Caenorhabditis elegans: one gene and its partners. The protein of the gene in region 2 interacts with the protein of the main gene of each other region in a pairwise test. Each region holds a gene or a part of one and is shown on either strand. Other genes may lie near its edges. The genes, in order: cup-2, F27C1.4, prx-5 and Y38C1AA.7.

The links.
Region 1: the proteins of F27C1.4 (region 2) and cup-2 interact in a two-hybrid assay, tested with the Caenorhabditis elegans proteins (one large-scale study listed by BioGRID).
Region 3: the proteins of F27C1.4 (region 2) and prx-5 interact in a two-hybrid assay, tested with the Caenorhabditis elegans proteins (one large-scale study listed by BioGRID).
Region 4: the proteins of F27C1.4 (region 2) and Y38C1AA.7 interact in a two-hybrid assay, tested with the Caenorhabditis elegans proteins (one large-scale study listed by BioGRID).

Annotation. Positions count from the first base shown.
Region 1 is NC_003279.8:10,396,599-10,404,341, forward strand, and holds cup-2 (Derlin-1), read right to left. Parts: upstream 3,580-7,743; coding exon 3,430-3,579; intron 3,373-3,429; coding exon 3,196-3,372; intron 2,970-3,195; coding exon 2,559-2,969; 3' UTR 2,392-2,558; downstream 1-2,391. Other genes in the region: tag-353 (Ubiquitin-like domain-containing protein), read left to right, coding at 4,473-4,643, 4,695-4,774, 4,878-4,997, 5,101-5,647, 5,694-5,861. UniProt on the Caenorhabditis elegans protein: Specifically required for the degradation process of misfolded endoplasmic reticulum (ER) luminal proteins.
Region 2 is NC_003279.8:5,419,203-5,426,286, reverse strand, and holds F27C1.4 (uncharacterized protein), read right to left. Parts: upstream 3,502-7,084; coding exon 3,082-3,501; downstream 1-3,081. Other genes in the region: utp-14 (Small-subunit processome), read left to right, coding at 90-609, 669-925, 979-1,125, 4,729-4,779; erp-44.1 (Thioredoxin domain-containing protein), read left to right, coding at 5,595-5,646, 6,186-6,281, 6,333-6,482, 6,528-6,612, 6,983-7,084.
Region 3 is NC_003280.10:8,700,531-8,709,126, forward strand, and holds prx-5 (TPR_REGION domain-containing protein), read left to right. Parts: upstream 1-4,293; 5' UTR 4,294-4,294; coding exon 4,295-4,394; intron 4,395-4,443; coding exon 4,444-4,628; intron 4,629-4,676; coding exon 4,677-5,021; intron 5,022-5,069; coding exon 5,070-5,300; intron 5,301-5,445; coding exon 5,446-5,535; intron 5,536-5,587; coding exon 5,588-6,051; intron 6,052-6,097; coding exon 6,098-6,191; 3' UTR 6,192-6,230; downstream 6,231-8,596. Other genes in the region: sphk-1 (Sphingosine kinase 1), read right to left, coding at 71-168, 220-351, 895-1,138; Homeobox protein ceh-7, read right to left, coding at 2,838-2,894, 3,102-3,299; cup-16 (uncharacterized protein), read left to right, coding at 6,874-7,017, 7,067-7,328, 7,416-7,948, 7,998-8,153, 8,196-8,279; srg-15 (Serpentine receptor class gamma-15), read right to left, coding at 8,539-8,596.
Region 4 is NC_003282.8:154,909-162,377, reverse strand, and holds Y38C1AA.7 (DUF7087 domain-containing protein), read right to left. Parts: upstream 3,417-7,469; 5' UTR 3,351-3,416; coding exon 3,270-3,350; intron 2,995-3,269; coding exon 2,596-2,994; 3' UTR 2,542-2,595; downstream 1-2,541. Other genes in the region: Y38C1AA.19 (RING-type domain-containing protein), read right to left, coding at 715-912, 1,126-1,328, 2,166-2,214; gegf-1 (EGF-like domain-containing protein), read left to right, coding at 4,488-4,623, 5,219-5,307, 5,839-6,019, 6,121-6,239.

The DNA of each region.
Region 1 (7,743 bases), 5.0 Mb from region 2:
ACTACTTGATTTTTACCGCTGAGAAAACTTATTCGATAGAATGAGAAACCAAATTCAACATGAAAATAGAACGGATCTTCAATAATTCGAAATCAATACATCGAGGGAAATGTATTGATTTCAAAAGGGTTTATAAAAGTTCAGTTTTATCGAAATGCTGACTTAAATAGAAGAATACGGTTTTTGAAATATAATATAGACTACAGTGGCTCCCTAATCCAAAGAAATTGCACTTTTCTCACAGAAGTTTACTCTTCCACTTGGCAATCTCGGATACGTGAGTTCAGAGACTAATCTTTTCTCTTTTTTTACATACTTATCGAAATAAAATGTCTAATAAAAAACATGTTTGCCAATAGAAAAAGACATAAAGAAAAGTGCCAGGATATCACTTTGCAAGTGAATCTGAAGTTTGAACAAAAATAAATTTTAACTTGGGGACTGGCACAGACTGTAATCCGAATGATTGGGGCAGCTTGTGCACTCCCCAGGGAGCAATTAAAAGTGACTAAAATGTTTTAGGCACAATTCTCTTTTTTTGTATTAAAAATACAAATCATTACCAATTTGTTTCTTCATTTTAGTGCTGAACTATACAAAAATTGGTTGTTTTCATTAAAGAATTTTTGAAAAATTGTTAGATGCAATAAGAAGTAGCCTATGTACATTTGATCTGAAAACTGTACAACCATCTACAGAAAAACGAATGTGAACTTCTGCTCGTAGAATACAAAAGCTGCGAAAACCGACATAGAGGCTCTATGGCTATGCCAATTTCTTGAATATTCGAAGTTATATTGCAACCTAGTACTACCTTGCTTTCAGACTACAGCGTTCTCCTTCACAATAAGAACAAATGTTTCAGAAAAAAGTGGGGAAGCACGTCATCATCATAATGATTGCTTGCTCCTCCCTCACATTGTTGAGGTGAGAAGTAGAAGATTGAGAGGGAGGAAAAATGAAAAAAAAAGAGAGAATATGTTGTCGGTGCCGATTCTATTCAATTTGCTTCCTTCCCTCCTTCTTCTTCTTCTGCTCTGGAAAAGGACATTCTGCTGCTGCTTCTGATGTCCTCGGCGTATATGGAACAATTATTAAACGGCGTGTGCGATTGGAAGGAACTTTTTTACAAGGAAAAATAATGCTAATACATTTTCTAGATGGATAGAGAAAGGGGACAAAAATGTTCCAATAAAGAGAAAATTTCTGAGTACGCAGTTACAATTTTGTAATTTGTGATGTGTCCATCAAACACCTCAAAAAATTTTGAAAATAGTCTTGAATTTGGTAGAAAACACTTGCAATTTGTTAATTCTTGCAAATATGTGTATTTAAATTAAATTGATGAATATCTCGTCGCGATCGTATTCGAACCTACAGTATATCCTACAACTTTCAAGAAGCGTGAATTTATGCTAATGGGTCTCACCGCGAGGATATTTCGATACTTTTTTTTCAATTTTCATGGATAAATTAAACATAATTATTGTAGGAAATATATATAATTTCAACAAACATCGCAAAAATACAGTTGCCGGTCTCAAAACGACTGAAATCTGCTAAATGAAGATTGCGAAAATGAGTGTGCGCCTTTAAAGAGTACAGTAGTCTTCCACTAGCTGGATTGCAATCTTCTTCGATTTTCCCTTTGTTATTCTACTTTTTTGTACATTACCTCTAAATTTCCCAGTTTTTCATTATTCCGGCACAAATAAAAACGATTTTTAGTGAGAAAAACCAGACAACCAATCGGGAGTGGAGTACTGTACAGCTCAAAGGTGCCCACTCAATTTTACAACTGCAGAAAATTGAAATAGCAAGCATAGTAATTCTTCACAGTACCTATTAATTTTGTTGATTGTTTATTTAAGAAAATGTTTATTTACTGAATTTTGGAGCTTTTAATATTTTTTCGAGTGGCTTCCGACAGCTGTTCTATAGTAACACTAGCGTTCTATTTTCAAATCTCAAAAGCAACAAATCAGTAGAAAAACAAAGAGTTTAGAATAATACAAGAAGTAGAGTTATCCTTCTTCTCTTTCTCTGAAATGGGCCATTAGGTTCAGCCGTCGTTGGAAGAGTTTGTCGTGTCCTCTTCTCTCCGACAAGGCAATTTGTTATCCCTTTTCTTCTTTCCCGCCCCCCGTTTTTGACATACTTATTTTTTGAAACTTTATGTGTAGAGCAACAGACGACAACGAAAAAGACAAAAATTTGGCGGCGACAAAAGAAAAGACGAAAAGGCGCAAAAAAAAGGTGACAACAAAGACGAATGAAGTAGGAGACAGAGTCTTGAGTCGTGCGAAGCTTTTATTCGATTCTGGCTGTCGCATCCACTTTGATCTCATGCTTTCTGAATTATATTATGATGAGCTGAAACAGTACTTTAGATGACTTTTTATTCGTATCTTCTTATTTACATGCGTGATACAATGAAACTGACTCGTGACTGATGTAATTTGGATGTTTCCCAATAATTATTTTAGGGGCAAGGCAATACAAGGAAAAAGGAAATAAATTACTAAATATAAGCACAAACTGAATGAGAATCACAATTGTTAATTTCCTCCAAGTCTAGCTCCAACACCTCCTGGCCATTGGTGTCCACGTGGCTGCTGTCGTGCTCCTCTGATGTTTCCATCTTGACCGTGAATACCTCCGTCTTCGTCAGGAATCAAACGATGCAAAAATTCAGGAGTGGAGATCAAATCAACGCCGTATTCGTCTGGATATTTAAGAGCCACAAAGAAATAGGCATGTCCAACCAGAATTCCGACAAGTTCGTTGGTTCCACCACCACGGAGAACGGCATTGAAGCCCCAGAGCACCCATGGAAGGTAGCGAGCTGGGAATCGCATTCCAAACCAGAACGATACAATTGTGTCCTTGTTGACTTGGCACCAGACGTAAAGTACTGAGATCACCATCGGTTCGAGAAGGAAGTAGATATCCAGAGCCATGCAAAGTCCCTGCAAATTAATTATTTCCCATTTTAACACATTTATCTTTGATTTTTAAAATTATGCAGGATATTGCAATGTTATTTCCTTTTTTTTGAGCCAGCTTTAACATATTTTAAATTATATCTTCCAAAATTCGCATTAATAACTCGATAAAAGAGAACATTTAAATATAAAAGTTTTGGGATTTAAAATTTTTTCAGGATATTTTTAAAACAAAGATTTAAAACCGTACCGAGCAGAAGAACCAGTTGAAAATGAGCATGAAAAGGTAATCCGCTGATCTTCCGCGATATGTTTCACTTTCCAATGCTTTTGAATAGTTGTAAAGAAAATAGCACATCATCAGCCAATGGAATCCCGTCTGCGGTGTGACTGGATAATATATTAACGCTGTCAGAGGCCTCCAGAACTGAAATGTTTAACAATTAGTCTTATATAATTTCTGGACAAAATAATAAAAGTGTACCTGGAACTTGTTGACTACGAGATCCCATTGTAGAAACATCCATTGTACATTGATGAATCCGAATCTACCGAGAAGCGGTATAATTGTGGATGCGAGGAACCAATATCGTGTCACAATAGGGATCCCGAGAAGGAAATTTTCTAAATCCATCTGAAAATGTATTGATTTGCAGTGAAATATTGAAAAGGACAGATGAAAAGAACCGTAGAGAATAAAAGCTGACGTAGGATAAGGAAATACATACGCGTGTACCAAATTATCGATTTTTCTTTAACATGTTGAAATTTATGTTTTTCGCGCACCAAAATTTTTTAAATTATTATCAGGTTAATATTTCTGTTCGATTTTAAGGTATCTATACAATAATTGAATTATTTCAAATGAGAAAAATACTTTTTTTTTTACTTTAAGCAAAAACAATGGAAATCACAATTTTCTCCTTTAAAACGTTTTATTTTCCTCCGATAAAAAACCATTCTCAAAAATTCTTATCAATAATACTTAAAACGAAGTATTTTTTGTCATTTATGATAGTGTAATTTTCAAGACTTGCTTGACGCAGTGAAAACGCTTTGAAACCGAGGTTTTTATTGCTCAATTCCATGAAATTATGTTTAATATGTTGAAAATAAATATTTTAGTGAAAAATATACTAAAAATAAAAGATAAAAATGAAAAATAAGAAGAAAAAGAGAAGCATAGCAACGCTTTTCCACGCCGTCAATGCACTCTGGCGGGCAAATCGCTTCGAGACCCATTGACCGTACCCCTCTTCTCTCGTTTAAGTGAACGTGTCTTAGTCGGTCACACCACACACATAATTGATCGATTTGACGCTGAATTGAGATGGAATAAACAAGTTTTGCCACCTGTTCCATTTCCTTCAGATTTATTTGCAATATCTCAATGCTTTTTCTCCGCCAAAATTATTGATTTTTCCTTTAAAACCATTTAAAATGCACAAATGCCGCCCGTCTCGTGACTTTTCTCTATTTTTAAGTCGTTTTATGGCTTCTTATCACATTTTCCTTATTTTCAGAAGAATGACGGAAGATATCAACGTTGTGCCAGAACAAGTGTCACCATCTGATGATGTGGAATTGACGATCCGACAGGCGTACCAGGCAGAAAGCGATCTGAAATTTTCGTGTCCGACAAGTTGGACAATCAAAGAAGTCAAGGAGCATGTAAAGAATTGCCTGAATAATCATCCGGTGAGATTATAAATTCTGAAAATCCATAAAAAATATTTTGAATTGTTTTAGGAAGTTGTCACACAACGGCTGATTTTTTCTGGAGCTTCTCTGAACAACGAACAGGTTTTGGCAGACGTTTTAAGAGAAAGGTGAGTATTTCTTGACTGTTAATAAAATTCTGTTATAAAAATAAAGAAAATTTCAACAAAGATGGAAAATTTTGCAATTAATTATAAACTGAAATTATTTTAGAAATCATGTCGCCGGTGAACAAATCTTCTTTCATTTGATGATCGCACAACCATATCAACAAACAACTCCAACTGCGGATGTTCGTAGAAGAAATGTAAATAATACTGCATCAAATCAAAAGTGAGTTTTAACGTTTAATAGATATTTTAATAATTATTTGAAAATTATGTTTTTTTGCCGAGAAAATAATATTTTTAATTTAAAAAACCAAGTTAATTTTCAGTTCGGCATCGGGATCGGCTCTCAATGAATATGCTCAGAACATGGTTGCCTGGCAACAGTACTGGAATGCCTACAATCAACTGTCTCCGGAAGCTCAAGTTTCCGAGCATCAGCGATTAATGGCTCACTACTACACATACGCATCGACAACTCCCGCTGCACCAATTTATCAAGTTCCCGCCAACCAACAGCTTCAACAAAATGCAGTGGCGTGGAGAATTCGAGTTCAAGGGGTGGCCGCTCCCGCTCGAGCCAACGGAAATCAAGGAGCTGCAGCGCCAAGACAGGGAAGAGTTGACATTTTGGAAGTGGGATATCGAATTTTCAAAGTGGTTTTGCTATTTTCTGCAATTCTTCTCTACTCGTCATTCGAAAGATTCGCTTTAGTTTTATGCTCGGCACTATTCATTTATTTCATTCAACTGCGACGAAATCACGCTCGCAATAGAGTTCAAGCTCAGGCTGCTGCCGCCGCTGCTCAGCAAGCAAATAATCAAGAACCACATGTTAATAACAACAATAATGGAGAGAACGACGGAGATAATACGGTTGGTCTAGAAAAAATATTTTATTCATTATCATGTACCATTCCAGGCTCCAACCACGGAAGGAGAGACACCAGCAACTTCCGATGCTCCAGTGGAACCACCAGCTCCACAACCAACTGGTATGCAAGTGTTCATTGCCACTTTATACTCATTTGTCACCTCCTTCTTTGCATCACTTGTTCCTGATCATCCGATGCCGATGGATCTGAATTAAATCAACTTCATCATCATTCCACATGTATTCATTCTAACTTTATTTTCTTATTTGAAGCCCCTTGAACTTTATCAGTCATTTGGTTATATTCTCTCACCGTCATCCCTCTTCCACTTCTCCCGATGTATACTGTACAACTGAAGGGTCCTTTTTCTTGGAAAATCTGACTTCCTTTACACTAGTTTCACACCGTCTAGACACTCTTTTTTGTGTATATGTATCTTAATATCGAAGTTTCTTCTACTGCGGGTCTCCCCACTCTTCCCCTTTTCTCTTTATTTTCGAATAAACTTTATTACGATTTGTTCAGAACCGTCATCTCCCTCGACGTCGATTATGCACGTTGGAAAGGACTGGTCTCCTCTATCCCTTCCATTTTTTGACCACTGTCCATTTCTGACCATCACTTGTCTAGTTTTTCCTCTTTTTCCTCAAATCGTCGTCATACTGTTCGGGTGTCGTTTCGTACACACTGGTTCGATGCTTTTGTTGGAAATAGTATTGATTCATTAGCCTTTCGGATATACAGCATAAAGGTCAACTAAAATATCTTGTAGCGAAAACAACAGTATTTTTTTTTAAATAACTACTGCAGCACTGATGTCGATTTACGGGCTGGATTTTCGAGTTTGACAGCGATATTAAATGTTCCTCTAATGTTTTTGTCATTTCTATGTTTTTTATATACATCATCAAAAAATGGCAAAAACCGCAAAATCGGACCAGCGTTATTTACAGTAATCATTTAATGAATTACTGTAGTTTTCGCTACGAGATATTTTTCGCGTCAGACCACAAAACCATTTCATATTAAAACAACAATAAATTATTGATTTACCAACACTTCTGATCCATAATAGGTGATCAGTGAAACGAATTTTATCAGTTTTTAATTAAATTGAGAAATAAAAGATTGGAGAATAGGAAAACTTGATTGGGTACTTTAGAAAGGGCAAGCTTTTCGGATAATGGTTTTTAAATCTTTGTACAAAGATAAATGACATTTCTTGTGTGAAAATAGGCCTAGACCGGCCTAGAAAAGTGTGTCCGCGTGATGGTGGACGTGGAGCAGTGTGCAGTAAACCAAAATTCCACATATTTTGGTTTTTCACTCAAAAAAATTACAACGTCAGAAGAAATACATTTCAATAACTTTTAAAAACTATTTTTCGATAAGATTCATTCGCTCCTAATTATGCTAAATAACCTCCCAAAGTCTCAAGAATCGGTATTGAATAAATCCCTGTTTTAAACTTCACCGACATGAATATTTGACCTCATTCCCTTAGGTTTCGTCATATACGAAAACCGTCTAAGGTTTTTTCCATCCACTTTTTTCCTCAATTCTGTCGTTGTCATCGTCCATCAAATTGGCACATGCGTGAGGTATCCCCTCTCATCTTATTCTTTTCGTTGCGGGAGAGTTGTTTTGTATTCCGAATGACCTAGTTGCCAGTAGATTTGAATTGAGAGAGAAATTGAGAGAGAAATAGAGAAGTAGAGATGGTGAAGGAGGTCCCGGGTCGATGGCGCCAAGGTCAATTTGATCTACGTTCGTCTGGGCCTCTCGTCTCGTTTTCGATTGTTTTGGTGTTCGGTTCATAATATGATGAGAACCAAACATTTAAAATAGGAATGTTCACAGCTTGGCTTCATTTGTTGAATAAAATTGAACATAGTTCCTAATCTGAAGTAACAAAAATAAATTGTTGATGTCTGATTCTCTCACGCACGAATTTAGGAAGTAAAGTAAAGATGGAAAGTTGACCTAAATGTCGGATTGATGTAATCAGACTACATTTATACATTTGATACCGAAACTAAAATTACCTTCTCTCATTCCCGCCTGCCTTCCGCCTGGAAAACGCCTTTTGAAGAATAT
Region 2 (7,084 bases):
GGATTTTGAAAAATGATGATTTATTCTTCACGTAGTAACATTCTATTTTTTAAAATTTTATATTTAAAATTAATTTTAAAAAATTTCAGGATGCCGCCCAAGAAGCGGAGAAAGAATCCAGAAAACAAGTTGGCACGGCTCTAGTTGATACTTTCCTCGAAGACTCCGATGCTCAAAAAGTGACACTTGCTCAGATGCGAGCCAAGAAACGACAAGAAGCTGCTATAACTCGAAGTATTTCAGCGAATACTGGTGCATCACGTGAAAATCCTCTATTCGACGTCGATGACACTTGGCAAGAGAAAGAAGATGCGAAAAAGGCAAAGCAGAAGAAAAAGAAGCTACTAAAAGCGAAGGAGTCAGCGAGAAAAGGAACAATTGGAAAAGTATCATATGTTGATAAGAATTATGATCCGAAGATGGAGGCTAAACGTGCAGAAACTTTTGATGAAAAAGTGGAAAAGGCAGTGGATTCAGCTGGAGTGCATGCCGCTGAAAAACGACAAAAGGAAATTGAAATCGATCCGAGCAAATTTCTAGAGCTCAACACAAACGACTTGACACAAGTTTCGTCGGATTTTGTTGAGAAAATGGATCAGTTTGATGAAGGTAAGCTTAATCTTTTTTTTTCTTTTTATTAACTATATTCCAACGATTTTTTCCTGCAGAAGCCGCTCAAGTTATCAATGAAGCTTTCAAGGATGATGACGTCATTGGAGATTTTGAAGATATGAAAGAAGGAGTGAAAGAAAAGGAAAAAGTTAAAGATGTAGATCTCAATTTGGCCGGATGGGGCTCATGGGTTGGACCAGGAATGACTGAGAAGAAGCGACGCCAAAACTTTGTGATTAAAGCAAAAGAGAAGAGAAGAAGGGACGGAGAGAGAAACGGAGTAATTATTGCTGAAAATATGACGGCTAAGGATGTAAGCACCTGATATATCTCCTAGATTTTTTAATTGCAAAAATGAGCTTTCAGGGTATCGGAAAGATCCAGCCACGTTCTCTACCATTCCCCTACTCCCGAGTTGAAGACTATGAGGCTGTGCTAAAACAACCGTTGGGTCTTGAATGGAATATGGAGAAGATGCGAGATGAGTTGTGCAAACCTGCGGTTGTTGTTGAGGTAAGCTTTATTATATTTTACAGTTTTATTGAACATGAAAATTATGTTGAAACAAAGAGAAGGAGAAGAGAACCGTGAACAGTGGAAAAAAACGAGTGAAAACAAGGAAAGAAAGGCATTGGACTGGGAGTGTGTGATGGGTTGGACCTGAATTGTTTCAAACAAAAAAAAAGTTGATAAAACAACAGATGAAGTGGTTATAAGTAGGGAAAACATGAATAATTTAAAAATAATTAGTTTTGATCATCCGAACTAGACGAAGATCTTGCGAAGTCAATGACATGGCAACGATTCCTCCAAATCAACGAAAACGTTTTCTTCCGTGGTGATTCCTCGAGCGTACTCGTACATTATGACATACAAAGCATGATCATCGAGCATATCGTAGTCTTCCTTCTCGTCCAGTTGTTCCTTGGAAGATGCTTCCACCTCTGCAGGCTCTAAAGTCTCTAGCTTCTCTGGTACAGCTGGTTCTTCTTGTTGTGGAACCTCTACGAGTTCGACTGGAGTAGTGTCTTCAGTAACCGCGTTGACAAGTGTTCCGACGGTTTCAGCTGCAGATGTGACCATTTCTGATACGGAATTCCAGATGGAGGTTGCATAGGAGAAGTAAGACATTTTGAGAACTTGTGGTTCTGAAAATGAAATAAGTTTTAGTCATTTTAGATAAGGAAAATATGAATAGAAGGGCTGAGGAAACAAACACGCAATTTCATAATCTATTGTGCCAAAAAAGGGATAGTTACGAAATCGAGGTAATATGGAAATCAAACTACATAGAAGAAATTAAGAACATAGAGCCTAGGTAAAAAAAACGACGGACGACTGAACACCCAACGTATGGCAGGCTGCCAAATAGGCGTGACTGTGCACAAAAACGCTCGATCTGATGTAACAGTATACACCTTTGTAATCAATAACTTTCTGGCGGCTAACGAGACCATTTGATTATTATTCCAACATAGTAGAGGAAGAGAAGAGACAATATAGAGTCCCAGAATATGGATCAATATAATAGGTTTTTGAGAGTTGGTCTTTTTAAATTTGGTTTAGAAATAAGTTTCGATAAGTTTTTAAAGAATACAATTTTTAAAATCTTCATATTATTTAAAAATGTAAATCGAAAATAATGAAAGAAGAAACTGTATATATTAGAGAATCGAGTAGTAGTAGTGTTTAGAGAATTAGAGATAAAAAAATACAGTACCCCTATGAGACTCAGTGCAACCTTGCATATGCTCCCCTAAAATCATATGCAACTATTTGGTTTTTTTTAAAATCAAATTGCACAATATTTCGAATTTTCAGCCGAAAGAAAAATTCAAAAATTCTTGCAACTTTTGTTCACAATAAATTTTTTCAAAACTGATTTTGATATAATTTCGGAATAGGGACCACTTTTTACATTTGAGACAGCTCTTTTCGATTTTAAAATATTTAGAAAGGTGTATAATGTCACAAAATATAAGCGAACATCTATCATCTGTGCATATATATGCACTGGCACGGGAGACAGGAACCGAACGGCACATGTGACGAGTTCATTTTGATGTCACAAGCTTTTCCCTTTTTCGTTAAAAAAAAAGTAGACTATAAAAACAAACAAACACTGTTCTAACAAGAAAATATGCAAAAATGAACACGCAAACTGGCGAATGTTGTTCGAGTTGTAATAGGTTGCGAAATTAACCGATAAGAAGCTCGATATTCTGTTATTAATAGATTTTTTACATTAAGTATTGCCCATGATTTCTAACACCTCAAATCCCTGTTGTCTTTGAAATTTCTTGTCTGAAGTAGTTTTTATTGCCAAGGACATTGTAGAATTGATCACGTACGAAAGTTTATTGTGAAACATTGTGAAAACCGGTAAATATTACCGAAAACATGACATAAATTGGACAGTAATATTAAAATAGACCCGAACATGTATAGGATTTCTTCGTTCATCCCAGATCATTTGGAATTCTTCATCCACTCGTAGTTGTTTTGCACCATCTCAAATTGATTGTGCCTGATTGGACCCGTCTCGTCTGGATTCTCATGGATCACTTCCCATTCGATCGATGTATTTGGTGACGATGCTCCTATCGCCTCCTGGTGAACATCCTCTGTCGTCTCCTTTTTATCCTCTTGAAGATCAGACGACGCCGCCGCCGCCCCTTGTTGCTCCCATGAGAAGACTTCAGAAGAAGCCGTGGCATCCTCTGAGCCAGATCCCCACTCGAGAGCAGTCTGACTGATTTGTGTTAGAGCCTGTGTTGCTCCTTCGGCAAGTGCAGAAGCTCCTCCAACAAGGTTCGCTGCCTGTTCTGTGACTGCTGGGACGACGGTTGTGGACATGAAGGTGTAGAGTCCATTGACGATGGAGTTCATTGTTTAGTTGTAGTTTTCTGAAAAAAAATAATATATACAAAGAGACAAGTTAGACCGGCAACGGAAGGAAAAAAGAATGAAAGTGAAAGTTCGAACGGAGTAGGATTTACAACAGGATTGACTTCATAAAAATTTAAATCAAGTGCATGTATTTTATCCTAGTGTACTATCTGCCTAGATTTTTTGAATCTAGGTGTAATATTTACGGAAAAAAAAGAAAATGAAGAGACAAAGTAGATATATCTCCGATGTGCTCTTTCTACCACCAGAATGCGAATGGCAACTAATGACTAGTAACAGAATAAGAAAGACGAGAAGATGAAGAGGAACGCTGTGTTGTCCTTACGTTCTTCCTATGTCTCTTTCTCTTTTCTCGTATCGGACAATCCCTCCCCTTAGATGTGTGCGCGCGCGCTGCTTCTCTCTCTCTATTCACGTTTATGAGAGAACGAGTCATATTATAGATTGTGTATGTTGGTTAGAATGAGACGCAGGAAACCGAATGCTCCCAAACGGGTGCAGGTCATCTTTTTGTGTAGAGGTTGGTGGGTGTTCATATAGATCGGAGAAAGAATGACGAAAAATGATTGACAAGAGAATACATATTTGGATTGGCTCACACCTGTATTAATTGAAGAAGATCAGTGAGCTAGCGAGGAAATTTGAATAACTTTTAAAAATAGCAAGAAAACTTCTAAAGATTATCATTGAAGAGGAGCAATTTTCTAGACGTTTTAGTTACAGTAATCCCTGTGTTACAGCAAATCTTGTCTCCTCTTCCAAAAAACCATTACAGTAATCATAAATATTGGAATTATTTGAAATCAACCAACAAAACTTGCAATTGAAAATTGTTAGAATCTATTTAGAAAGAAATAAAAACATCAAATATATGTTTACACCATGACGAGTCACTAAAACTAATCGAGTTGTTGACTGAAAGTAATTCAAAATCATCGTTCGGCGCCGTACATTCTGCTGGGTTTTCACACGTTCCTATTACATTGATAAGAACTTGAAATGTTTCAAAACATTGTTGAAGCTCGAAAGAAAATCGATGATGTGTGTGTTGCTTCTAGGGACAGCTTTTCCTCACTCAGCTGTGAAATGCTCTTCTTCTCCTTCTCTTACTTCTTTTCTCCAACTATTTTCACATTTTTCCCCTCATGAGTTACTAGACACAAATTTTGAATAAAATTTCTCTATTTATAATATTTATATTTTCAGGCTGGAAGAGCTATTCGTCCAATCAACAAGAAGCATCTACTCGGAGAATAATTGGAAGAATTGTTAATTTTTTGTTGATTTTTTAAAAAAACTTTATTGTTGGTTTTCTCTCTTTGAAGTGTCACCTGAAATGTTCGTTGTTGTTAATTTTATATGTTTTCTTTACGGTGAAAGTTTAATTGAGACCATTTTCTCATTATTTTCTCAATTTTACATTTCCTGTAATTCTTTAAATGAAAAACAAATTTTTTAAAAAATAATTCAATTATAATCAGTTTTTTCGTTATGGTGGATATCCCCAGCAATTTATTTGAAATTTGAAAATATAATTTTTGTTGTTAAAATAATATTTTGAAAAAGTTGGCAACGAAACCCAAAGTTTTGAAATTTTGAAATAAAAATCTCAAAAAAATGTCTGCTTTTCGCTTTCGAAAGTATTTAAAATTTAATTTTTTAGGGTATTTCTCTATTTAATCATGTCTCATTAAAATCAACATTAAATATTGAACTATTCTTCATTTTTCCAGATATTTTCTAGAATTGTTTTTTTTTATTTTTAAAAACATTTTTTGTCGGTTAAAAACCACTAAAGATTTTGAAAAAAAAATTTTCCATACTTCAATTTTTTAATAAACGAAAAATTTGGTTTAAAAAAATCTGAAAACACTGCAACAACAAGTTTTTCTGACAAATTTCTCACAAGAACCTGCACCTTCACTATTTTTGAGAAAATAAACCCCAAAACGTTTTTTTTTTCGATGTTCAGTTTTAACCAAAAAAAAAAGGTTTTGATTTTTTTAAATTCGAACAAAAATTTATATTTTTCGGTTTTGAAAGAAGAAGTGAATCTCGGTGATCAGCACGGAATGGCACATGCTCTCAGAGAGATACAAGCACACAGTATTCTCATGAAAAATCGTTTGTAAAGCTGCCCCATCCACGCCCAATTCTCATCGCCAGTCAGCTTTTTCTCCACTTTTCGTTTGCTCTTTTCCGTGTGCTCACTCACTCACCCTGCGCCTCTTCTGATTCAGCGTCTGTGTCTCTTATAATTCAACACTTTTTCCACTATTTTTAATACCCCGGGCGGTTTGTGTGACCAATGCTGGCCAAAAAGTACACGTGTCTTTTGCCGTTCTTTTAAATTTGAATATGCTGCATTCAGACATTGATTTTTATGTTTTGAGAAATGTTTTACAACGTCTTACCCTTTCTAAACCCTGCAAAACGCCATTTTCCGCACTAAACTAACTGATGATGAATATGCGTTTACAACCAATCAAAAACATTCGTTTTGAAACAGACCAATCAAGAAACTCTTGAACTTTTTGTTTTCCTATAGATCGGTTGATAAGCATACTTTTTACAGCTGGAAAATCATTTAAATGTTCTTAACATTTGCCTTAAACATTTTTAAATTCCCTATAAATTCTCAAATCGAATAACAAAAATTTCAGAAATGCTGCGGTGGTTATCCCTACTTCTATTCTGTCCGGCTCTACTGAATGCTGAAGTTGTTTCATTGACATCACAAAACTTCGAGCAAACTATTCGTGAGCTGTCTTCAACTATCTATGGAAAATATGCTAATTATCATGTTTCAGAAGCAAATGAACTCGTTTTCGTGAATTTCTACGCAGATTGGTGCCGCTTCTCGCAGATGTTGAAACCCATTTTCTTGGAAGCTTCGGAAAAGTTCAAAGATGCGGCTCCGGGCAAGATTATGTGGGCTTCAGTGGATGCTGATAAGAACAGTGAGTAATAAATTGGAATAATTCATTTATTTTTATGAAATTCAGACGACATTGCCACAAAATATCATGTTAATAAATATCCAACTCTGAAGTTGTTCAGAAATGGAGAAGCCGCGAAAAGAGAGTACAGGTTAGTTGCTTAATTTTAATTTGTTTTTTTTTTAAATTTAAAGTTAATAAAAATATATAAAAATTTATAATTTTGTTCAAAAATTTTCTTATAAAGATTTGGCAAACTGTCGAACTTTTAATAAATGTGCAGAGTTCTAACCTCTACACCTCCTCCTTCTCCTCCTCTACACCTCTACACTCTGAGAAAATTTTTTTTGGTCAAATTCCAAAATTATAATATGTGAAACTAAAAATTAAGATATTTCAAAAATTTGTTTTACTATGATATTAGGACATTTTAGCACTATAGGCTGCAATTTTACACAACTTTTTTTATTGACGATACACTTATTTTTTTCAAAAAAATTATTTTAAATTTTGAATTTCAGAAGTTCCCGATCCGTGGAGGCTCTTAGCGAATTCATCAATAAACAAATGGAAGTTACAGTGAAGAAGTTTATTGAGAAAAATGCACTTCAAGCTGCGCATAA
Region 3 (8,596 bases), on a different chromosome or scaffold from region 2:
TATAATTTTTTAAATTCAAAAACTGCCTCCAACGAATTTAAACTAATTTCGTGTTTTTTGAAAGCGTTACCTCGAAAACCAAACCATCTCCAGAAAGAATCAAAACCCCATTGAACTTTCCAAGGTCGGCTTTTGTCATGAGCACATTTCTCGCGTGATTCGGCCCGGCTGTAAAGTAAACATTAATTTGTTTTTTTTTCTAGTTTTCCTGAAACTCACTCGTAACAACGACTTCATATCGAATCAAGCTTTTATCCAACTTCGGTCCAACTGTATTCGCAAAAGTCTCCAGACTTTTTCCAGTTCCACTGTTAGGATTGATGAAAACAAGAAGATTTCCACGACATTGTTCTGTAAAATAATTTTAAAATAGAATATGGGAAGAAATTATTGAATTAATTATTTATTATGTTGCTAAAATTCTAAGAAAATCCTAACCTTCCATTATTCCAAAGTTTAAGTGGGTTCTTGTGAGATATTATAAACAAACGATTCTCGAAAATTGGCTGCGTGGTCTTTGGCATATCGATTTTTATGTAACAACAGGCGGTTTAATCGAGGGATCAATGACCAGCATTAACAAGCGGATGAAACGAGTTGAACATTTATACAATTATTTTTCAAAACAACTTTTGATTTGAATTGAAATTTGATTTGAAAATTAAAGAAAAAATAAATTAAAGGATTTTTAGCTACGGTAAAGCATCACATTTTACGACAGTGCAGCGGATCCTACGCAGAAATGCACCCGTCGTGAAACTTTTCAGGCCTAGACGCATGTATAGCTCTTTTTCAAACATGAATACTTGAAATATTTTTCAATTAAAATCACAATTTATCATGAAATTAATTACGTTATTAGAAAAATATTAAACTTTTCCAAAAAAAACTCACCCTGTGGCGGTGGTTTTCTGCTCAATATCACACTTGTGAGCTGCTCGTTTTCCTCAGCATCCGATCGGCAACAGCAGCAAATTGTCCCGCCCATGTGATGTTCGGTGCAAGTGCACTTTGATGTAGAGTCCTGCATACTCCGAATTGTCTTTAGCTTTCGTTTGATAGTTAGACTGAATATTGTTAGTAGCGAAGAGTACCATTGTGTATAATTTTCAAAAATTGTTACCACTACTATGAACATTTTGGTTAATGTAAAGGTATGAGGGGCTCAAGGAGTTGGTCATGGTTAGAGTGTGTTAGAGAAAGAGAGTGGTTAGATGAGAAATGACAGGAGTTGAACACGGCTTAACTAAGTGCGAAGTACCTGTACGAACATTTTTAGACGTACGGTTTTCTCAATTTAATATAATTTCAAATTAAGCTTGAAATCTTAAATCGCTGGCACCGTTCAGCTAACAGTTCTTGGAAGGAAATGTTTATTTTACAGAAAATCGATATGCAAAGCACATGCACTTTTTCTAACAAATTTGGGTTGGAAATTATTTAGCCTTATAAATATTCATTTTTACTATTTTTCAATGTTTTAAAGAACCAAGGATTTTTGAGCGTTAAAAACATTGTTGTAGTCTATTGCGAGTTGCTATGGTGCATAAAATAGACTTATTGAGCACTGCAACGCTACACACATTTTCGCTTATTTACACTGCAAACAACTCACAGAAAAGGTTAGTAGAAAATGAACGAGTACTGATGTGTTCAGTTTTTTGAAAAAAACAAAATTCTAAAATAGGGACACAATGTTTTATTGTCACGTGGTAAGAAATGTTTGAATGAAAACATTAAATGAACAATAGGACGTAGGTTGAATGGGGAACAATTAAGAGTGCAGGGCAATAGACAAGGAATGGGAAATGTAGGGAACCTGTGTGGATTAATTTATATTGAGGAAGGATATGAATCATGCAGTTTGGTTAAACATGTGTATTTATACTTTAACTTCATAAAACATAAAGTATCTAATTTCAATCTTCTAACTATATGCTGTGAAACTGTAATCAAAACCATTTTGTAGAAAGGAAACTATAATGGATTTCAGAGTACTTTTTTGAGATTTCAGATCTGATCAATGGGAGAGTTATTTTCCAACTAAATAATAATTGAAAAATGAATGATCAAGACAATAAAGATGGAAATTTAAAAGTAGTCAGTCAACCACATAAGTTGATAACACTATCTTGAATTGTTTCAATTCCGGGAAAAATTAAAAATTTGAGCGTTTTCCAGAGGGAAATACCTCTACAGCCAGGTGGAATACGGAAAGAGTTGCGGAAAGTGAGCAAACATCTCTCTTGAATTATCAAAGCATTGTATTGACTATTGGGAGAATAGTGCACTCTGAGATCGCTGAGTGAATGAACGGTCACTTTGATGAAAAAACAAGGAAGTATTACTAGATGTGTTCTTTTCAAAGGTAAACTGTGAAAATAAAAGTTGCGCCGTGTGCACAAACCTATATGCTTTTCAATCTATACGTTCTCAAGTCTCCCATAACTTTATGCTTTTTTGCAAGTTTTGGCCAGTTTTTCCAATTAAAATGCACTAGATGATTTTTTAAACAATATGAGTTTATTATTTTTTAAGAAAGAATTGGCTGCTTCTAATCAATGCAAAACATACAAAAAAGAGAAAAATCAAACATCACAACTCATTTATGTAGTGTACTCCCCATGACTCGCCTACCAACTTGACTGTTTGTCCAAGAAATCGACAATTTGTCAGGTTAAAAGACAATGGGTTAATGTCTGGAAAAGTGTCAGATGATCAGGAATTTGCTCTCGAGGAGTTTTCAAAACCGTAAAGCGATGTTTTCAATGTTGGAAATAGTGGTTCTAACTACAAAATTTATTTCAGTGAAATGAAATTAAATAAATATTTGACTATTATTTATTGGCTTCTCTTCTCATCCGGATTCGACGATTTTGGAACCAAATCTTCACCTGTAATGTGCTACGTCTCGGAAAATTATTGAATGATAACAACTGATTTAAAAATTTTTTATTTTTTTCCTAGATTGATCTAATCACATCTTTACAACATACAATCGGATATGTTAGACTTAACGTAGAAGTTGCTGGAGCTCAGCCTGGTGGATAAATTTCGCAAACAATTTTAATAGAGAATAGATTTCTAAAAACAATAGAAACCTGATATTCATCTAGACTCAAAATCCTTGCCAATCTTTCCCTTTCATCACATCCAACATACTGACTTTGTGCAAAATACATTTCGAGTAAATATAGTTGTTCCACTGTAAATGTGGTTCTTCTACGTGGAATTCTGGAGGTTGAAGCTTCTGGTCTAACCATCATCAGTAAGAATGTAAAGACCATTTCGTGTTTCATATTTATGCCGTCAATTGTCAGTACAAGGGGCCGCCCGTTTTCGTTTCGTTTCGTTTAAATTATAGGGAATACATTATAAAATCACACCTTTTGTGTATATCTTCGTAGTTTTATTGGACATTTTAATAGGCCTTGTTTATAAAAGAAAATATAATAATGATGACATTATACAAAAAAGTATTCAAGGAATGTTTTATAGTTACAAAACCTATAGGTATACAGAATATGTCAAAATAGGGGAAAAAACTGAATGTATGCAGTCGACGAATAAGGTTGTCTTGACATTTTTTTGGTTAATAATGTTTTTCCTGCCAGTTTCGATATCTTTGAAATTTTGATCCAGATGACATCAATCCTAGCTATGGAATAATGGGGGAACTCTCTTTAAATTCACAACTTCATTCGAGCAAAATTTGTCTTTTGCACACGAAAAATTATTATTATTATTGCACAATCAAATATTTTTCCCCCGTGCAAGTGTGCAATGGGGCGACGGGTCGAGCCAGAAACCCGTGTTGTTGAAAATCAAACCAAGTGCAAAATATCCATTTTGCTTAATTTAAAACGATCTAGGATAACTCCACTAGCAACTAGAATATCTAATTGAAGGATTGAAATTTGGAAACTTACAATAAGGTATTCTATTTTATTACGTTTTCAATCTTGCTAGGAAAACTTGGAAAAAAAATCCATAAACGTTTCCCGGTTATTTCAGAAATCGATAGTCGACCTCCGTTGTTCCTTATCTAAATTTCATCAATTGTATCCTTTTTGATAAGACAATACTATCTTTTTATCACTACGTCTCCTTCACTCTAAATCCTAATGTAGTATCAATCAATTTGATGAAAAGACTACACTGGGGCCCACTTATTTTCTTTTTCAATCAAAATTCACACTTTATTTTATATATTTCTTGTAAATTGTATTTTTCTTCATTTTTAATTCTACTTTTTTTCAACAATTAACTCTCGAATTCTTCAATTTTTTACAGAATGAAAGGAGTTGTAGAAGGACAATGTGGACAGCAGAATGCTCTTGTCGGGTTAGCTAACACATTTGGAACATCCAATCAAAGAGTCGCTCCGAGTAATGGTAAGCTGGAAATATTCAAGTAAAAATTAACAAAAAAAAAAGTTTTTAGCTGCAGCTTCTCTTCTCCCATCTTCTTCTATGGGAGAACAAATGGCTAATGAATTTTTAAGACAACAAGCGAGAACAATGGCTCCAACAAGTTTCAGCATGAAGTCGATGCAGAATAATTTACCACAGGCATCAGCATCCTCAAGTTTGGCAGCAAATTGGACAAAGGAGTTTCAACCGCGACAGGTATTTCTAATGCATTCATATATTGGTATTTTCAATTGATTGCTTCAGAACCAGTTAGCGAGTCAATGGAGTCAACAATACACATCTAGTGCTCCAAGCATGGAATCTGCATGGCGTCAAGTTCAAGCTCCATCAATGACATCCACGTCATCACATCAACCAATAACAGATGCTGGTATGTGGTCATCTGAATATCTGGATACTGTGGATACTTCTTTAACCAAATCTTCTGGGACTCAAAACTGGGCTGATGATTTTATGGAGCAACAAGATAATTATGGAATGGAAAACACTTGGAAAGATGCACAGGCTTTTGAACAGAGATGGGAGGAAATTAAGAGAGATATGGAAAAGGACGAATCTCTTCAAAGTCCTGAAAACTATGTTTATCAGGTAAGATTTTTGTCTTCTTTAACACATTTTTATAACCCTCCTATTCAGGAAGCAAACCCTTTCACAACCATGTCAGATCCACTGATGGAAGGAGACAATCTAATGAGAAATGGAGATATTGGAAATGCCATGCTTGCCTATGAAGCAGCAGTTCAAAAAGATCCTCAGGATGCACGTGCCTGGTGTAAATTAGGATTGGCTCATGCTGAAAATGAAAAAGATCAGTTAGCAATGCAAGCGTTCCAAAAATGTTTGCAGATTGACGCTGGAAACAAGGAGGTAAAATTTGAGAAAAATATTTGATTATTTGATGCCATAAAATAGATAGGTCGCGATAAAATTCATATCTGTCTCTTAAAACTTTTTAAGAACAGAAATTAAGAAAAAAAAAAAAAAACTTCCAATAAAATCAAAATTATTTCAGGCACTTCTTGGTTTGTCTGTCAGTCAAGCGAACGAAGGAATGGAAAATGAAGCTTTACATCAATTGGATAAATGGATGTCTTCTTACTTGGTATTTCTTATTTTTATTTCAAGAATAATCCCACACGAATAAATATTTTAAGGGTTCAAACTCGACTCAAGTGACAACCACACCTCCACTCTACTCTTCATTTCTGGACAGTGACACTTTTAATCGAGTTGAGGCTAGATTCTTGGATGCTGCTCGGCAACAAGGAGCAACTCCAGATCCAGATCTTCAAAATGCTCTCGGAGTTTTATACAACTTGAATCGCAATTTTGCAAGAGCTGTCGACTCTCTCAAGTTGGCGATCTCCAAAAATCCAACTGATGCTCGTCTCTGGAATCGTCTTGGTGCTACGTTAGCCAATGGTGACCACACAGCTGAAGCCATTTCAGCATATCGAGAAGCTTTGAAATTGTATCCAACATATGTCAGAGCAAGATACAATTTGGGAATATCTTGTATGCAATTATCATCTTATGATGAAGCTTTGAAACATTTTTTATCTGCATTAGAATTGCAAAAAGGAGGAAATGATGCATCTGGTATTTGGACAACTATGAGGTTAGTTTATAGCTTTATATGTTAAAATCACCTTCACAAATTTCAGATCAGCAGCAATCCGAACATCGAATGTCCCTGACAATTTACTGAGAGCAGTGGAAAGACGAGATTTGGCAGCTGTAAAAGCCTCTCTAGTCTAGAATAATTACAATTTAAATACTAAAATAAATAATTATTTTTCCTCGAATTTTTTTACTTGGTTTTCAAACTTTCATTTTGAAAATCTCAATTTCAAGCCGATCACGAGTTTGGAAGGGTCATAAAATGTTATTACAGCGGTAAGAAAGCAGGAAGTAAACCGACCTAGCACAAAAAGTGTTCAGCTCATTTTGTTTTGTTTGTAGAACTCACATTGTTAGAGCTCAATGAAATGATTGAATAATGCCTAAATTAAAATAACATTCTTCAAGACTTCTAGACACTAAGTAATCAAATCCTATCATTTCTCTTACGGTGAATTTCTACAAAATGCTCAGAAATTCCACATGAGTCACCGTTCCATGAGTAAAACCTCGGAACATATGACTGATTCTATTTATTATCATCTTTCCGCCACCCTCTTCCAAACGTCTCACTCTTTTCTATTTGCCGGTCATCGAACACATTCTTCCTTTTCTCTTTCTGTCTTTGAAGCACATGACATGGCCATTTATCATGAAAAGGTACAGCTGGTTGAAGAAGAAGAAGATCCGAGAGAAACAGCTCCAATTGAGAGGAGCACAGTCACAAGTTTTCTCTTTCTTTTTTCCTCTCTTCTATCCAAAACATCTTCAATAGCTGTAATATTCCCCTGGAAATCTTAGTTCAACTTGTTCTTGATTTATGATTTGTTGGCTCAATTTATCGATATTTTATTTTGTATTCTCTCTGTATCAATGTCATCAAGAAGAATTATCACAAAATATAGAAGTCACTGCATCTGATTCTGCAGCAGAACATGAAGTGTTTGAAGGAATATCATCAAATGTGAGTTTTGAGTTGAAGATTGCTTCTAAAGTTTAAAACTTAGTTATAGATTGCTGGGAAAGGAGAAAAGTTAGAAGAAGAAATAGATAACATTGGTATTGTAATGCAACCAGAGCCACGAGTTGTCCATGAAGCTTCCGAAGTATCAGACAACATTGAACTTAATATCAAAGACGACCTAAACTTGAAAAGTAGACTGGACAACTTCACAAGAGCTAAATTCAGGCAATCAACCACCGTAACACCTAATATTGTTGCTGTGGAGCCTTCTATTGAAGGTGTTGAAGACGATTTAGATCATGATGAACAAGGTGAAACATTTAGAATCAATTTAATATTTTTTTCATATTGAACTCATTAGATGTAGACGATTAACCTGTATCATCAGCATGTTTCAGGAGAACCAGAAGACAGTGAAATTCGAAATCGGAACGAGCACCATTTTGCTGAGTTGGGCGGAAAAATGAAGGAACGCAGGGATCATGTAGATGATCCCGATATTCAAGAACCATTGAATAAGCCAATATCGGCTATTCCAGAAGAGACTTCAAATTCTGCAACTATTCAATATGAAAGAAGTTCGTCTGGAACACAAAACCCGCAAACTTCTTTAAATATTCCGACTGCTCAGAATGTACCAAAACTAAAACAATTAAAAAATCAAGAGATTCTAAAGGATCATTTTATTTCGGAAGTATCAGATGTTTCCAACGTTGCAGATGTTTCAGCGCCTATTGTTATTAGTCAAGTACCTGAAATATTGAATGGAGAACCCGCAGGAGTACCTGCCAATTTTGAAGAAGAAGACAAAGAACGTGTAGAAGAAGAGGAAGATCGCATCAGTTGGGATCTTATTCATTTTCTACTTTTGTTAAGTCCATATGAAGAAGGTGAAGTTACTTGGTGGACAATTGTTCTTGAAGCCGTTAAGGTTAGTTTTTGATAAAGTATAAATATACGAAAATATTTTAAAAATTCAGTGCTCTCTTCGAAGTTGTCATAATTCATCATCTCACTGGCATGATAGATCTGTGTATCTTCCGAGAATAACTCGACATCGTCGTCAAGATTCAGACTATTTACCTGGAGCACTTTCTCCAACAACACCAAAACCCTGTTTGTGCAACAATTTAGAGGTTGATATCAAAACGTTATTATTAATGATTTAAATTTTACAGACTTATTTCGAAAAACTGTATGAATCAGTTGGGAAAAAAAAGAAGGAAAAGAAAATATCAAATTCAACAACGAAATTTGTATAAAAATTCCGTAAATATGTACGTAATTCAATAAAGGTTCAACTTTTATACTATAATTAAACAAACAAATACAAACTATTTCTGCTTCAAAAATCTATATTTTCAAAGAATAAATAGCTGACTTACTCATGAATCTGAGAACAGAATCAAAAGTAAATGTTTTTGGAAGTTCTCAATCTTTTTAGAAACATAACAATCAAACGTATGTTCTAAAACGATTTAAAACCTTTAAAAAAATTTATTAACTGATTCAATTTTCAGATCAATGAGTAAATGAGTTATTGATCGTTTGAACTCTGAAAATCCGATCGTCTTCTGCT
Region 4 (7,469 bases), on a different chromosome or scaffold from region 2:
AAGGCGAAACAGAAAGTGAACGTTTTTTTAAAAACAGATTCCTTACAGCATAACATACCGCCAAACACCTTGAGGTATACATTATATATATATATATATATATATATATTCGTTTCATGTTTTAAAACATGGTCGGTTTGTTTTCTCTGACGATATAGCATTAGATTTTTTGTGAATAACTCTTTTCACCGTACAATGTCTGATTTTTATACATAAATGCGCAGCCGATTTATGAGCTATAGCTATTATGACAGAGAATATATCGATAAGAAATAAACTGTCATAAATTGAATACAATACAAGTAATTATTGCTATGTCTTAAATATCTTGCTATTTCAATTAAAAAGTAATAACAAATCAAAACCAAATTGAACAACATTATATTTTATAGGAATGAAAAGAAAAAATGTTCGAATTGTGTTTCAAACGAAGGGAAAACTGCAATAAGGGAAACAGTACATGTCTTAGATAATAATTCAAAATCTAACATATGCTCAATCCACGTAGTCTTGAGCAGTTGCATATAACAGTTATCATCTTCTGGAAATCGCAAAACTCAAACGCAGTGTCCATGAGAAGGAACTCGCTGCCAGCCGGAAAACAGCCGAAAAACTATACGTTGTCGGCTGGCGGGGCCAGCCGACAGCCGAAAAAATCAGCCAGCCGCTCAGCCCTGCTCGCTGGCACCTCCAGTTCATCATACATACATTCAATTAAAACTGAATTGTACTTTTGAATAAAGTCATGTTAGGCGAGATCACTGAAAGCGTGTTTAAACTTTCAATTCTTTTCAGAAATGAGATAACATTCTCGATCACGGAGATTTTGTGTGTCTTGTGAGTTCCATCGTTACAGAATGTGGCACGATTCCGGGTATTGTTAACTTGCTCTGCAGAACTATTTGAGTTAACCTGAAAAATATCGAATGATGATAAGAGACTTGAACCCGATCATGGCTGTGGTCAGACTTAAAGCAAAAAGTTAAGCCTTGCTCAGTTCTGTTATATGCCCAAATTTGGCTGTAAAGCTTGCAAAGTATGTTTTCCAAGGATTTCTTTAGAAATTTTAAATAAAACGCTCAAACGTTAGGTTTATAAAATCATAGAAAGAACATACAAACTCACATGTTTGTAACGGTGCAAATTCGAAAGTACCGGCTCATCTGACAGATTATCCGAAATTGCGATCGCTTGAAATTTAATGTTTGTATGCTTAAAAGCGTCTATTTTGTTGCAAGCCGGACAATTCGGAGACATTTTTCGGTCAAAGCATTGCTCACAAACCGAATGTTTGCATACTCCAACACGAGATTGTTGATTTGATTCATCTAGAAAATTTTGATTTAGTTTGGCGTAAAACATCGTATTAAAGGCGGAGTGGCGCCAGTGGGGAAATTACTTTAAAACATGCCTATGGTACCACAATGACCGAATATCATGATAAAAAATTCAAAAAAAATTTCCTGATTTTATATGATTTTTTGAAAATAGCAAAATTCTCAGTTTTTGCCTAATTCCTATTTGAATTTCCGCCAATTGAATTTGTTCGATGGAGCGCGCTTGCACGTTTTTAATTTAATTTATTTTATTTTTTGTTATTTTCCACCAATTTTTAATGTTTTCGGTGTATTTTTGCTCGAATTTTAGGGAAAAAGTCAAAAGAAATGCAAATTTTCGATTAAAAAGCTCGCTTACAAGCGTTAAAATGAAAAAGAAACGCTTTTAAACGATTTCGAACCTAAATTAATTAATTTAACTGATTTACGCGTGTAAGCGTGCTTTTTAATCGAAAATTTGCATTTATTTTGACTTTTTCCCTAAAATTCGAGCAAAAATACACCGAAAACATTAAAAATTGGTGGAAAATAACAAAAAATAAAATAAATTAAATTAAAAACGTGCAAGCGCGCTCCATCGAACAAATTCAATTGGCGGAAATTCAAATAGGAATTAGGCAAAAACTGAGAATTTTGCTATTTTCAAAAAATCATATAAAATCAGGAAAATTTTTTTGAATTTTTTTATTATGATATTCGGTCATTGTGGTACCATAGGCGTGTTTTAAAGCAATTTCCCCACTGGCGCTACTCCACCTTTAATGAAATATCTACAATATATTACCAAGTTTAATAAGTTAAACAAAACTTAATTAAATTGCTACTTACCGAAGAATTGTGAACACTTCACACAGAAAAATGTGCGACACAAAGACATGTCTACAGAAAATTACAAAATGCAAAAATGGTAAGCACCTACCATTTTATTGACGACTGATAAGGAGTCCGATAAGAAAATAACTTAGGAAAACTGAGGAAACTGAGAAATTCTGAATGGAAATTGACAATATTTTTTAGAATTGCTCGAAACTACGCGAGATGATATACGGCAAATCTTACGAAACGTGTTACGAAACTTCCTCTCTATTTCGGACAAGAATTCTTTAATACGCGGAAGTAGAAAAATATTTTGCTGACCTGTAACGTTTTTTTCAGGGAGCCTCTGTTCGATCTCAAGAAAATACAAAACAAAAATCTGAACGAGAATAATAATAAAAACTCCAATTTATTCCATTTATATCAGATTTATTTTCTTCGTCTATTGGGCTGGTGGAGCAGCAGCTGGATCCTGTGCTGACGGTGCAGCACCTCGTGCAGAACCTCCAGATTGTCCCTTCTTCAACTCATAAACCTCAATTCCGAGTTGTCCAACGGCGGCGAGCACATGGATGAGCACGAAAAGCGAGAAGAATGCATGTCCAGAGACACATAAGAAGACGAGGACACCGGAGAGCGCTGGCACCAGAATCAAGGCAGCAGACTTTCCACGAACTTCATTCTCTGACGATGAAAGAACCTTGTTGAGCTCCTCGCGACCATCCACGTTGAGACCAATGTTGTGAGCTGAGATGGCAACTGCTCCGCCAAGGAAGATGAAGTAGAAGAGCTTAGCAAGGAAGTTGCAATCTTCGAGGGAACCGAATAGGACCAACAGGAGCTGAAAATTATAAAGGTTTTAGATGAAAAAGGCTACATTTAGGGATGACCGGCAAACGGAAAATTCGGAATGCTGAAAATTGCCGAAAATGGAGTTTTCCGACAAACGGCAAAGCCGACAGATTGCCGTTTTCAAATTATCGGGAAATTCGGCGAACCGGCAATTACCCTTCATTGCCCACACAGAAAATCTTCTACGCTTGTATTAAAATCCCCAAGGAAAGACCTGGTCAGGGCGAGATCTTTACAAAACCTCCCAGAAATCCCCAAACATACCTCAAATGAAGCACAGACGATGACGGCACCACGGACGTAGAGCACGTACTTGTTGAACTCGTATGGTGGGATTTGATCCATTGTAGCTGCGAGAGATCGTTGTCGAGCGAGTAGAAAATCGGTGATGATTCGAGCAGAGACTGATTTGATTTCACATTTTTTCGAGCTTTTATACGGACGAAACTGGGGCAGATTAAACGTGGCGATAGGGAATTGTCGGGCCGATGCGTGAAATTATTTTATTTTTTGAAAACCCTTTAAAAAATTAAAAAATTGAAAATTATAACTTTTTTGTTTCACGGCCATTTTTGAATTCCTAGTTTTCTGCCATTTTCAGGAACTCTAGGACATATTAAACAATGTATTGGGTACGCTTTCATAGTTTAGTTTGTAGTTTGTAGTTTGCACTTCCGTAGCTTCAACTTTATAGATTTCAGTTGTTAGGAAAAGTTTTTGAAGTGGAGTTGCACGTTTCAGTCTCTTGTCTCAACTCTATAGTTATCAACTTCAGGTCTGTAGTTTGTAGTTTGTGGTTTGTAGTTTACAGTTTCTAATTTCTAATTGGTAGTATTCAATCTGTAACTCGCGTAACAGTTTTGGTTTAATTTGTTTAATCTGAAAATTCTAGATTGCATGGGTATAGTTTATAGTAATATTATATTTCGAAATCTGTGAAAATTGCAGTTTGTAGAATTGTAGTTTGTAGCTCACGAAATCACTTCCATCGGTTGGTTTTTTCCACAAGTTACTATTTTGTTACTGTTAAACACCAACAATTTACTAGCCGAAATGCTAGAAACTGGAACTTTTCGACAATTGTTCCTATTGTTCTGAACCATCTTCAGAACTACTTTAGCCATCAAGTATATAGCCTAACTAAAATACAATAAATCTGACCAAAAGAGTATCCTCGAAACAACCACCCCTCCTATTATATAATCATCTGGTTTTTTGGATCTCGCCGATTTCGACACGCTTCCTGACTTTTTTCCCTAATTTATCCCCCTAAAACCGGCCCACCCTCACGGGGCAAAGGTGGAATAGGGGCACAAAACTGTTACGTAACCACGCCAAATTGTTACTTTTGTGTTTGTGTCGTTATTTTTTTGTTTAGATTTTGTATTCTAATATGTATAGTGTTTTGGGAATAATATCTACCACTTTTTTGTCAATTGTCATCATGAAAAGTTCCAAGAAATCAACTTTCAGATAAAAAAAATGTTTGTTAAAACCTCCGCGACAATTTTTGGAATTTTCCTGGTCTTGGTCACGTGGATTCATGCCGAAAAAGTGCACGTGATTGAAGTGGACGATGTGGGAAATAAGACAATTTCAGGAGAAGTTGAAATTTCAGGTAAAATATATAATAAAGATGAGTTAAGAAAATATTAGAATTTTTTTAGAATTTTTTAGAAAACATTTTGGAAAGTCCCAGAAAGTTTTAGAAAGTTTCAGAATTTTTTTGGAATTTTCACAGTGCTCCAAAAAAATCCAAGAAGTATCAGAAAATTTCAGAATGTTCTAGTTTCTTAGGACAGTCCAGAAAGTTTTTAAAAAAAGTTCTCAACATTGCTAGAGACCACCTGGCAGTTTTTAGAAATTTTCAATAAACTTCAAAATATTTTAGAATCCTCTAGAACTTTATTAGATCCTCTTTTCTAATCGGGAAAATTTTAGAATCGTTTAGCTTCCAGAAACTTCTTCAAAAATTTTTATAGAAAATTTTTCAGAATCAGGTAATTCAATGGTTTATTTTTCGAAATGACGTGTACCAGTTATTTGATGTATTACAATTACTAAAGGATCGTATATCAAATACCTTTTCAACATCAATTATCTCCCGGAGTGAACTTACGAACTTTTCAAATTGAAAGTTATCTAGTTTTTTTGTTGGATAATTTTATTTTGAAATTTTATTTTCTCTACCTCACAGTAAATAATTTATTTAGATGTGGAAGCCGAAGAAAAAACTGACAAAAAGAGGGAAGTTGATGCAAATGATATTCAAGAGGAAGTGAAGGCTGAACTCGACAAGGCGGTCGGTTTTTTTGGCGCAAAATTTAAAATTTAAATTTTTCTGATAAGTTTTTGACACTGCAGAGGTTCTAGTAACTTCTGTATAAAACTAGATAGAACGTGCTAGAAATTTATAAAAATTCTGGAAGCTCAAGAACCTGGAAGCTTTTAGAACGTCTTTTGGAAAATTTAGAAGAAAAAAAACCAGATAATTTTAGAGCCTTCTGAAAACTGCTTGAATTTTTTTTACCTTTTGAAAATTTCTGAAACATTTTTAGAAGCTTTAGAAGCTTCTGGTAAAATTTAAAAATAAAAAAAAACTCCTAGAAAAAGTTAAAACCTAGGGATCTTTTGAAAACCTCCAAACGTTTTTGAATTTTTTAAAAGAATTTTCTGTAAACTTTTAGGAAAGCTGGTAATTTTTAAAATCCCGTGAAAATTTCAGAAAGTTTCTAGAATTTGAATTGGAATTTCTGAAAAAAATAATTGAAGATTTCTTACACACTCTGAAAATGTTTGAAACATTTCAAGTTTTGATTCTGACCACTTTCAGGTAGAAAGTCTGAAAGAAACTGCTCGAGAACGTGAAGAAGAAGAGAACAGTCTCCTATCCCGTTCAAGCCTCGAATCCTGCGGAGCCATCGACTGTAATCACCGTGGAACTTGTCTCGGAACAAAGAAAACATTCCTCTGCGCATGCCAATTGGGATTTTCTGGAAAGACTTGTGAAGAGAGTAAGGTTTTATCTTTTAGTTTTAAGGCTTTACTAATCGGCAGGTGCATCTATCTGCCTTCATACTAGATTGCCTCCAACCCCTACGTGGATTATTTTCAGCCGTTTGCGACTCGGCTCGCGACTGTAACGGACATGGATTGTGCTTTGGAACCACTAACCAGCTGACTTGTCTCTGTAACCTTGGATACACTGGAAAACGCTGTCAAACTCCGATATAAGGGGTTTTATATCTTTATGAGCAATTACTAACAAATGTTTTTGACCGCTTTGTAAATAAATATTGATTAAAAATACAGTGTGTTTTATGTTTCACAGATATACCTAAAATCCTTAATTGTTCAAAACAAAACAAAGATAAAATCTCAAATATACTTACTTCTCTACAGACTAAGGTTGTAATAGTACCACCTGTCATAGTAATAGCGGCTGCAATAACCTTTGTAAAAGGCCTATAATAACAACATAACTTGGTACATTGCATTCATATTCCAATGTCTCTAATTTATGACTACCTAACGACCCTAAACCGTGTAAGGCTCCATACACAAGGTCTCAATCTACTTCCCAAAAGTGGCATTCGTCCAAAAATTCCAAAAGTCGAAGTCATCTCACTCTCTATTGTTTTCGTTAGCTCTTCTCACGTTCCGACATGTTCATCTTTCAGTAATTACCGCATTGATACTCAGTTGTAGTATATACTCTTACCTCAAGAACAATACATTGATTAGATGCGTCTGAATGCGTCCTTCCCGGTGGCTGCCGTGCATATTATTTTTAGTGGCTCTCCCTCTGAGAGCTGACAAGTGCTAACACGGCTCCCCCAGAAGAACAAAAGAATATTCCTTTCATTTACATTTTGAGGTGCTCTTCCTCAACATATACACGCTTTCTTTACTTTTTTCTACACCTACTTCCATGAGCTACATATATCCAGTTTGGAATTTACATAATTTTCACAGTCGAGAGTCTTTGAGCTCCTAAAAATTGCTCAGAGCCCGAGCCCAATGTCAATTTTTTAAAAAAACATTTTGCATTGTGCTTTCGGGCCAATTTTCGGAAATATTTGAATCTCTGCACACCACCTCAAATTTGTCCATCTTTCCAAAAAAAAAACAAAAGGTTATCGTTTTCCCAAATTAATCGAAACATCACCCCCCCCCCCCCCCCCATCTATAAATTGATGAGTTTTGTCGGTATTTGATGGAGGGGACAAAAAAGAGAGACAAAAGACATGTCTCCCATGTACCTAATACCTCCAAAAAACTTGTGCATGTACATTTCCTCAAGTACCTACCGAAAAGGGGGAAATAAGAGTTGCGCCATCAACGTAGGAGGGGGAGGGGGGGGGAGGGGTGTTATGTAACAGGATGGTACAAGTGGGGAGGCTTGGATGGAATGGGAATATTGGAAAACGAATGCGTGGGGGAGAGCTTATGAGCTCAAAAATC